Caenorhabditis elegans: one gene and its partner. The protein of the gene in region 1 interacts with the protein of each later gene in a pairwise test. Each region holds a gene or a part of one and is shown on either strand. Other genes may lie near its edges.

The links.
Region 2: the proteins of zim-1 (region 1) and C01C10.2 interact in a two-hybrid assay, tested with the Caenorhabditis elegans proteins (one large-scale study listed by BioGRID).

The regions. Positions count from the first base shown.
Region 1 is NC_003282.8:10,545,418-10,550,239, forward strand, and holds the start of zim-1 (C2H2-type domain-containing protein), read left to right. Parts: upstream 1-1,668; 5' UTR 1,669-1,670; coding exon 1,671-1,769; intron 1,770-1,837; coding exon 1,838-2,562; intron 2,563-2,736; coding exon 2,737-3,049; intron 3,050-3,797; coding exon of another isoform or gene 3,798-4,084; intron 4,085-4,822.
Region 2 is NC_003284.9:7,434,891-7,440,049, reverse strand, and holds C01C10.2 (MYM-type domain-containing protein), read left to right. Parts: upstream 1-1,931; 5' UTR 1,932-2,078; coding exon 2,079-2,186; intron 2,187-2,450; coding exon 2,451-2,624; intron 2,625-2,669; coding exon 2,670-2,832; intron 2,833-2,924; coding exon 2,925-3,080; coding exon of another isoform or gene 3,081-3,112; exon of another isoform or gene 3,113-3,139; coding exon 3,140-3,240; intron 3,241-3,284; coding exon 3,285-3,338; intron 3,339-4,139; coding exon 4,140-4,253; 3' UTR 4,254-4,448; downstream 4,449-5,159. Other genes in the region: Putative 1-acyl-sn-glycerol-3-phosphate acyltransferase acl-12, read left to right, coding at 139-324; clc-5 (Clc-like protein 5), read right to left, coding at 4,597-4,689, 5,018-5,159.

The DNA of each region.
Region 1 (4,822 bases):
TTTTAGACAAAATTGATTTTATAGGCTTTCTGACACCGTTTTGTGTTTTTTATGTATTTTAAAGTCAAAACTTTTTTTTTCAAAATGTGGCTCACAAAAATATTTGCTTGGTTGAATATTAAATTTAGCGCCAGTGAATTTAAAAAATCGTTCGCTGAAAAAATTTATTTACAAATACAGAAAGGTTCGCCCGCCAGATTAAAAAAAAAGTACGTTTTAATACAAACCAGTTTTTGAATGAGATCATCAAAATGTGTTCTGAATGTGAAAACAACTGAGTTACCAATAAACAACATTTTTAGAATTTTTGGTGGATATTTTATGTATGTAAAATTGTTTTTTGGTCGTACTGAGTCGTACTGAAATACAATTTTAAGTGATTTATGTTTATCTAAATTTTTGAATGGTAGCGTCCTATTTTTTTGGAAACTTGGTTTGAAATGATAGACAATGAGGCGCAAATAAAAAAGATTCTAAAACTTTTTTAAAATTCTTCATCTGAACTTGAAAAATATATAAATTTTTTTCTATTTCTCGGCAAATATTTATGTTTTTTCAGTTTTATTTTTTTGTTTTGATGGTTTAAATTGAACCGAAGAAAAACAACAAAAAAAAATTATAATTTTTGTTCGAAAAACGGAAAAAAGAGATTTCGAAAAGTGGGCGTGGGCAATTCTTCCTTTTTGGTGAATACAGTCCATTTTCAATCATCTACAATACAATACTCACAGACTCTATATTATAATCTTTGAAATTAATTAACAGTCACAACAATTCGACCAACTTCTTCATGATGTTTTGAATTTAACGACGTGGAGTTTAGTCTTTCATGGTTTATGATGGCCAAGGGACCGATGGAAATAAATTGAAATTAAATTATGAAAAGGGAACAATTTGACCGAATGATCTTTCTCACAGGCAACTGATGCAATGATAAGAGACTGACAAAAACCAGTTAAAAATATCTTGTTTGGTGAAGATATTGGAAAAAAGGCAAAAGCCGTTAAAAGTCATTAAAGGATTAACTTATCAAGTACATTGAAGTTTTCTCTCTATTTAGTTTTGTGAGATGTCATGCCTTCACAGTGTGAAGTTTGAAGATGTTTGAATTGGTTGGCAAATTCGGATTTGGATGCGTTGTAGATTATGACTGGATTAGACAAAGAATGGTGCGGTTGTTTTTATCGTAACAAAAAACAAATCCATAATTAAATCAAGGAGATTGCTATGGCAGTAATTGTGATTTATTAATATTTGGAAACAAATTGAGCTTTCTTTTTTCTAAGTGCAAGTGCAACATGCTGCTTACAAAAGAAGCACGATTGCTAAACAATACAGAAAATTTTTTCAACTACCGTATGCATTAAAGGCGCATCACACATTTGGCTGGGGTCTCGCGACGACCAGTCCTTTCTTCAAAACACTCAAATTTTCATCGCTCTTTTTAAGTTTTTTTAAAATTGTTTTTGTTTTGTAAATTTAAATTTTATTAGCTTTGTGAAATTTTCTATTCAACATCTAAACAAAGTTAAAAAAAAAACTTGAAATTCAAAATTCTTACTTCTCTTGTGGATGCCTTTATTATTGCGATACATTCACTGTGTTCGTTTTAAATTTCCTTTTAAAAATGCAGTTTTAAAAGTGTTTCATTGTCATTTTATATTTTCCAGATGACTTGTGATGATTGGAACAGTTATATTCAAGTGAACATTTATGGAAAAACCATAGAAGGACTTCAGCAGCAAGGAGTTGTGTTGGAATCTCTTTTGGTTAGTTCGATGATGAAATTTCATCTCTGGTGATACTTGAATCTGAATATGGTGTTTATCAATTTCAGAACAACGTCGGCTGCTCTAAAGTTTGGATCATGGAGGGCTCCGTCTGCACAAATCCTAGACCCGAAAGCTCTACACATTCTGAAGAAAGTACAATCGAACCAGTTGTACCACTAAGTACAACTCTGGCCACTAACAAGCTTCCTCGATTTTCAACTCCTGCTATCGGCCATTCAAATAATAATTCCAGTAAAAATTTCACATTGAATTTGGCTGAGAAGCTCTCAGAGATACTATCGGATGACGATAAAACTGATGAATTCCTGGAGAACTCTCATCAATCCGAAACTTCGAAGGACGACGTGATTAAAGATTTGCTCGAAGAAATGGTACAAACGGTTGCCAATTCTAATAAACCTCCGATTCTTTTGAGCACAACTCTCGCAAATGTTGGTGTTCCCCGCTTTTCAACTCCCATCAAACCACAACATGCATTGAATCGAGATTTCACGATGAACATGACAGAAATGATTTCCGAAATCGATTCGAATTATGAAGGTTATGAATTATTCGACGATTCCTCCAATGACTGTACCACCTTGACCCCCAACTGCCAGGAGGTCGAATCGTCATTTTATCGAGCACTTTCTGAAGCAGCTAGTTCCATTGTTCCATATCAGGAAGGAAAGAGAAGAAGCTCGAGACGTTTGAGTACTCTGAGTAGTCTCAAGGAAACTGTCAAAGTAGAGCCTGCAGTTTCAAAATTAACGAAGAGAAGACGGCTCACGTAAGAATTTTTCTGTGACGAGAATTCTGCCCGTTCAGAGATCGCTGCAGATCGAATTATCATAACTTCAATTTCTTTTTTAAAAAACGGATTTATTAGCATGAATATATTCAAAATTTCAATAATCCGAATCACCGTCGAAGTTATGTACTTAAGAGTTTCATTATTTTTCAGACCGGTTGAATGTTCAAGTGAAACTATGATTCCACACTCCCAACCAATACCACTGGATACTTGCTCAGATCAACCCATTTTTCCCAATTCGACACACAATGCTATTCAATCTGATGGATTCTCATATGAACAACCTATTTGTGAATTTGGAGATAGTCAATTGTTTTTGTCAGCAAAAAGTCTTTGCACTGAGCCGAACAGTTCTATTGCTGAGGATGTGAAGCCGGTTTTGACAGTTTCGGATTCCGACATAACAGCTTCCAACAGGAATAATATCGATGATCATAATCGAGTCATAGAACTGTCAACTGAGGTATGATTTGAGTAATTTCCTTTATTTTTAATTTGTAAATCATCACAACTGACAAGGGAAGTCTTTGAGGGGGTCCCTAGATTTGGGATTCTCATGTTGAAATTCCAATAGAAGAGTATTCCAGATGATCCCTCCAAAAAATTTAGCTGCCCAGGTTGGGTTTCAGCAAAGTTATGACGTTTTGAAAATTCGGTCTGAAATCGGTTGATTTGTATACTAAATCAACGGTCGGCATCGGCCCGGGACACCATAGTTGTCACCAGGCGCGTGGTGTGAGCAAATCATCGGTTGGTTGGTTGAGTGGTAACGAGATGGGTTCTGGTGGTGAAGGTTGTGGGTTCGATCCCTTGCGTTATAAAGCTTTTTTTAAAAGTTTTTACTGTATTTTAAAAACAGTAAAAAGTGTGATTGAAATTACTTTTACTGACTTTCTCCACCTTTTTGAGTTTCTTATAAACGTTTGCATCACATTTTCTCACATTTTTTGAATTAAAAAAATTTCAAAAAAATCAAAATTTTCATCATCAAAGTCATGAAAAAAAATAGAAATCTCAGATTTTCAGATAACTATAAAAAACCCACCGAAAGATTATTTTCATTATTAAACTCATGGTTAAAACGTATTTCGCGATAAACTGGGCCGTGACCGACGGAAAGGGCCACTGGTGTAAACCGCCGTTTTTGTTCGAATTTTTTTTTAGTAATTTCACCGTTTTTTTGTTGTTTTTACTTATTGAATTAAAGGTAAATGCCGTTCCGTGCTGATCTTATTGTTGGAGGACTGGTGGAAGAGTTTGGACATGAATATAATCCAAGTTTCATGAGCCGCGAGGAACAAAAAATTCTCGAACGTGTTCGAAGAATATTGCGTGATGGAAAAACTCATGAGCTGATCGTGTATAGTGAGGATGAAGAGGAAATTGTCGGTGGAATAGTAGAGGATGAAAATTGGACAGCAGACGATGATGGTCCCACTACTTATGCTCTTCCGGACAAAGTAAATTTCTCGGGAAATCTAGTAGATGTGGAGACTGTGAGTTTTCAACTATGTCTAAAAAGTTTGTAAAAGAAAGACGTTTTTACGGTTTTCGAAAGCCACCGTATTTTTATAAATGCTACCAACTTATGTGTATGTTTTGAATTGTAATACTGTTATCAATACAGGTTGAAAAGGCTATTGAATTTATGATGGATACAAAACATAACAAGTTCCTCACAATGTCCAGTGTACAGCATCGTTACCGTTTTATCAAGTCAGAAAAGGATATGAAGAAGCTCCGAAAGTTCGCTAGAAATCGTCAGTTTTCTTTTTCCATATTCTCGGTGCACAACTATTTATTTGTTTTAGAAAAAGTCAATTGTTCTCGAGCTTCCAGCTTCGCAAAACTGTCAGAACTTTTGAGAGCAAAAGTTTTTGAGACAATGGAAGCAAGTGAGTGTTTGATTGCAAATTAAATTTGCATGCTTTATTTTTTAGAAGTTCAAATCGACAAGCTCACACTTCGACGAATGGCAGTTGATCTAAATGAAGAGTTTGTGCACATTGACGATTTCAAGGCTTCAGACGATTGGCTCGCAAAATGGAAGAAGTCAAATGGTTTGGTATCTCGTCATATCACTACTTTTGTGACCAAAGCTAGTTTCGCAAATAAAGAAAAGACAGAAGAAGCGGCAAAGAAGTATGTTGATGATATGAAACTAGAACTGCAAACGCTCGATCCAAATACAGCTTTCAACTGTGATCAGTGCGGATTCACGAAGGAGCAATATTGC
Region 2 (5,159 bases), on another chromosome or scaffold:
TGTTAGTGGTTTAAAAATAAGTTTATTAGATACAGTGATGATACAGTGACATAAGTTAAACGAATATTTTTGCGAACGAAATAACATTGGTAGAAAACAAAAACTTCATTATTAATAAAAACTATTTTAATTTTTCAGGACAAGCTTCTTGCGGAGTTCTACAAAACGGGTCATTTTCCCGGAGATAAGACAAAAGTGATTCCAAACAACTATGAGATGATGTTTGCCCAGGTGTTCTGGGGATGTCTTTATTACGCGCATTACGTGTATTGGCTCCGTCCTCTCATTGTACATTCCTGGACGTCATTTTTATCCATTTTTTAACTTTTTTTTGAATAACCGTTTCATTTTCAATCCCCTCTACGTTTACATACTGGTTATTTCATTCTCACACATTCTTCCTATGGATTGTCACCCACTACATTTTGTTACATTTCTTGTCTGTACTCAAATTGTTATCTGCTTCTGAATAATATTTATTATGATTTCATTGTTTCCCCCAATTTGTTTCCATGTCATCTTGGGTACTTGATTTGTTATTGAGCACCACGTCAAAAGATCCCCCAATCTTCAAACAGGTCTGAAGTCATACTTGCAGTACGTATCTGCCCGAACTATTTGTAATTAACAAATAAATAAAATTCTTTAATATTACGTATTTGACTTTTCAGAAAAAAAATATAGCCAAAAAATTTATATTACTCTGAAATTTTTTTGTTTTATCTTATTATCAAAAAAAAAACATTATTTGAACTAAAAATAAATACATTTTTTTTATAAATTAATTGAACCAACGGAGCATTAAGCAAAATATTTGTTTTTTTGCATTAAGACGACTTCCAGAGAAAAATATTTATAAATACATGTAATGGACTTTTTATTAAACCTTGAAACATTTAATTTTAATGTGCCATTTGAAAATACTTACTTAAAACAATCTTAAGTGGCAAACCTCCATTCTCAACTCTTCAACTTTTGATCTGAAATAGTTTTTAGAGCATTTTCATGTTGCTTTTTAGGCTCAACAAACTGATTCAAAATCTGGTTTTTGCTGGTTAAAAAACGTTTGAAAGTTTAAAAATTATCAAATATTTTAAAAATCTTATTATTTTCCACTCAATTCTATTTGAAAATTTCACATTGTTTTCCCAAAAACATTACCCATAAAGACTTCAAAGTAATATTCAGACTATCAAAATTATGCACTGATTTTTAGCAATTCTTTGAGCTTCGTCGAGTAGTGAAAGCACATATACGCACTGAAAATTGTTTTAGATAGGTGTTGAATATGGAATTTTTGCTGGAATTTCAGAGCAAAAATTTTAAATAGGCACCTCTGCGGATACTTCAAAAACATATGACTAAAGTTAAAAAACAGAATGCAAACCTTTTTTGGTGGATGAAATTTAAACAAACATTTTGAAAGTCTAGTTACTGATAAAATCCCTCCATAAAAAAAAACTGATTTTTGCCTTGTCCGCCAATTAAAAAAAACATTTTTTAGACCACTTTGTATGAAATAGAAAAGAAAGCAAAACTAGTTTTAGATCGGTAAAAATGTTCACTTCTGCAAATATGTCCATCTCCTCTTCACTTTCTATTTGCAGAGAACATTAGGTAAGTCAGTATTAACTGCTTTTGTATCACAAAACCCAAGTGGAGACGGTGAAAGAAAAATATAGACTGACTGTGAGAAAGAAGGCAAACATTCTGGAAAACGAGGGAAAAACGAGAAGGACATTGAGATGGATACGCCCAAATTGTTGAGGAGGCAAATTGTTTAATAGAATAAAAGAACACATTGCGGATTCTACAATTGGTCAGTGTAGGCGGTTAGTCCAAGCAGTCAAACAGCCGGCAGTCTCCTCATAAAAACCTGTTTTCTATAAGACTTGGAGTCGTAGGGGTAACGAGACAGTTGGGGGTCTCTTTTTAGTGAGGACATCACTATTTGATTATTTATTCGGTCCCTCCTTTTTTTTATTTGACTTTTCCTTCCCGCCTCTTTTCTCTGTCAAGGTAATCTATCTATCTACCTCACTTCTATAGGAAATTTCATACAAGTTTTCGAAAACATCATGACTCTACCTGTGTCAATGGATGACAAGGAATTATTTCCCAAGGTGGATATTCTCAATCTTACTTTTTCACCAAAATCGGAAATCAGCGAGGATGTATTCAAACAGGTGAGTTATAAGCTTCTTTTTTCCGGTATTTGTATATTATATGCTTTCATTAAAAAAATCAGAGTTTCATTCATTTCTTTATTTAAAATAAATGTGATAAATTTTAATTTTCACTTTTTAGGCCTAGATATGATTATTTCCTAAACGTAAAAATACACAAATATTCCGCACATTTTTGTTTTATAACTTAAAAAAAACTTTTAGATGAGTATTCTTATCCTAAGGACTTCCTAAGGACATTTTGTTCACTAAACTTTTTTTTAGATGTTCTCTTCTCTCGACCGTCTCTGGTGGTCACGGCTTGTCATTTCGATTCGAGGATACGTAATCAATTACGTTCAACAAAACGATGAAGTACTGTTCAGTTGCGATGACGCATTCATCAAAATTCATCAGAAATTGGCGGAACGAAATAGTCAATTTGAAGATGCCTTTGAGGTACTTTTGTGAATTGTGGCGAAAAGTATATTTTTTGATTTTCAGTATCTAACTGCAATTTTCCATGTCATAAGAGAGAAGAATACATTGATTCAAATGATTTCCAATCCTAAAAGCATATCGACAACCAAAATATCTCCCAACTTGGACCGCTCGTTCAACATTATACATGGAAATCTTACACCCAAGACTATTCAGCTGACCATTGGTATGACCTTTTGTCTCTTTTCTCTCCCACATATGATTTAATTTATTGATAACCTGATCACGTTTTCTGTTTTGAAACAAACAATTATTCAGCGCAACTGCCGGCCTATACCATGTTTATCAAAGTTGTTGTAAACTTGCAACAGAGATGGGAAAATGAGAAGTTGAAGAAAAAATCGATTCGTTTTGAGACAGACCCAGAATGGGAACCCGATGAGAGAGTTGTCCTTTTTCAAACCTTCGCATCAGGTATGACAAGTCGCATCAGGTATGACAAGTAAAAAAATAACGTTCAAACTGTTTTGCAGACAATCGTACTTGGGTTCTTTTAGACTTTGATAGGTACATTCTACAACAGTGGAAACCAAGCGGAACCTCTGTTATCTTTGGAGACAGATTTGTTGAAAAGGTAGAAAAAGTAATTATGAATTAGATTGAGAAACATGATTACAGAAAAAGAGAGCTGGTCTGAAGCTTTGTTCAACATGTGGAATGTTGGAGCAAAAGGTATGTTAAGCTAGCTCACTCATTAAACATGGGTCGTCAAATGCGGATGATGTGGGGACGCTTTAAATTGAAAACTTCAATATAAAAAGTGAAAAGTGAAAAACAAAAAATTGGAAACTATAATTAGAAAACCTTATTTGACCGCAAATTAAAATTTTTTGAAAATTAAACAAACGTGATGAAAAACAAATGCCTTTTTAATCCTTTTTAATCTGAAATTATGCTCGGGCGTTTTAGTCTCCAATGCTAAATAATAGATCAATTTCTAACTTTTTTGATATGTATTGCACATCATGTACAAAAATAGCTTTTGAAGCAAGACCTACAGATGACAGTCAACTCACATACATATCGATAGTTTCATGCCTAAAAAATATATACATGAGAAAAATACTTTTTGAAAAGGTGAAGTTAGCCTGTTTCCAAATTTGAAAGCTGATCAGGGCTAGATTTTTTGTTTTGACTGTTTTACAGTTTTCGCGCAGATACTTGTACTAAAAATTTTTTAAAAAGTTTTTAAAAATCTTCTCTGGAGAAATTTTGGTATGATTTAGCTTTCTCAGGTATGTATTAAGATGCAAAAATATATTGAAACAATGTGGTATATAAATTTTAGCCGCGTTTGTTTTTTAAACTTTTCTCAAGCTTGTTTTTAAATTAGCAATTTCTATTGAACTTTCAGTTTTGGTTACTTTTGATGTCTTACAAAACCATCGAGTATTATTGTTAAATGTAAGGTGCATAGGAAAAACAACAAATTTGTTATCCATATGACTAAATCCAGTGATCGAATAATTTCAGAAAGCACAATTCGCCTCTTTAGACGAGAAAGCATATTGTTCAAAAACGTGTTTTGATGAACTAAATCCTCCGATGACAGTGAACAATCGAGGTGCCACTGTTGTCCACTTATAATGCGATTTGTACATTTAGTTGTCCTATATTCGAATCTACATGGAAAAACCATCAACGATCAGCACAACCATCAACGTTTTATTAATTCAGTATTTTACAAACTTTTGAGAATGTTTTGTTATTAATGGAAACTATTTGATATTGTACAAAAGCCACAATTGAATCTAATTGAAAATAAAGACTCGTTATATATATATTCTGTGAAGCATGCCATCAAATTTGCGGGAAGTGAAACAAGAAGTTACAACTGAGTAAAAACAAAGAGAACAATGGAATTAGAAACATTTAGAGATTCTTTTGTTGAGTTATTTTCTGATTAGATTAAACTATTAGGTTAAACTATTCAATAACTGTAAAAGTGTCGGGTTTGTGACTTGAAATCGCCACGAGGAGAAATTGCTCCAGCAATGTAGGATCCGTGTTCGGTAGAAGGAATCTAAAATGAGGAACTTGAACGTATAAAATTACATTTTAGTATCTGTTTTTACAAGAAAATGAAACGAACAAAGTGAATACATATCAAAAAATTAAACCTGTTCACCATTTTTCTAATCATTTTCTAATCACTATAATCACTATAGTTGGTTGTAAGGTATTTTGAATTTTTGTTAGCAAAATTAGACTATAAAAAACTTCCAACTCTGTTCAAATTTTTCCTGAATTTGAAAATGAATGAGATAAAAACTGATTTCTAAAGAAGAAGCTTATGTGTCAAATGATTTGACTTTTTAAACTTGCGTCGTTTCACCCATCTTGAAACTCACCTGCATGCTTAACTGTGACATTGGCGGTTGGTACGGTTGTGGCAGATCGTTATTGTATCTTACCGCAAATTGGTTGTTCGACATCTTTAATGTGTATTCGCTATCCGCAACTTCCTCTGGGAACAAGAATGTGTATGTGGAT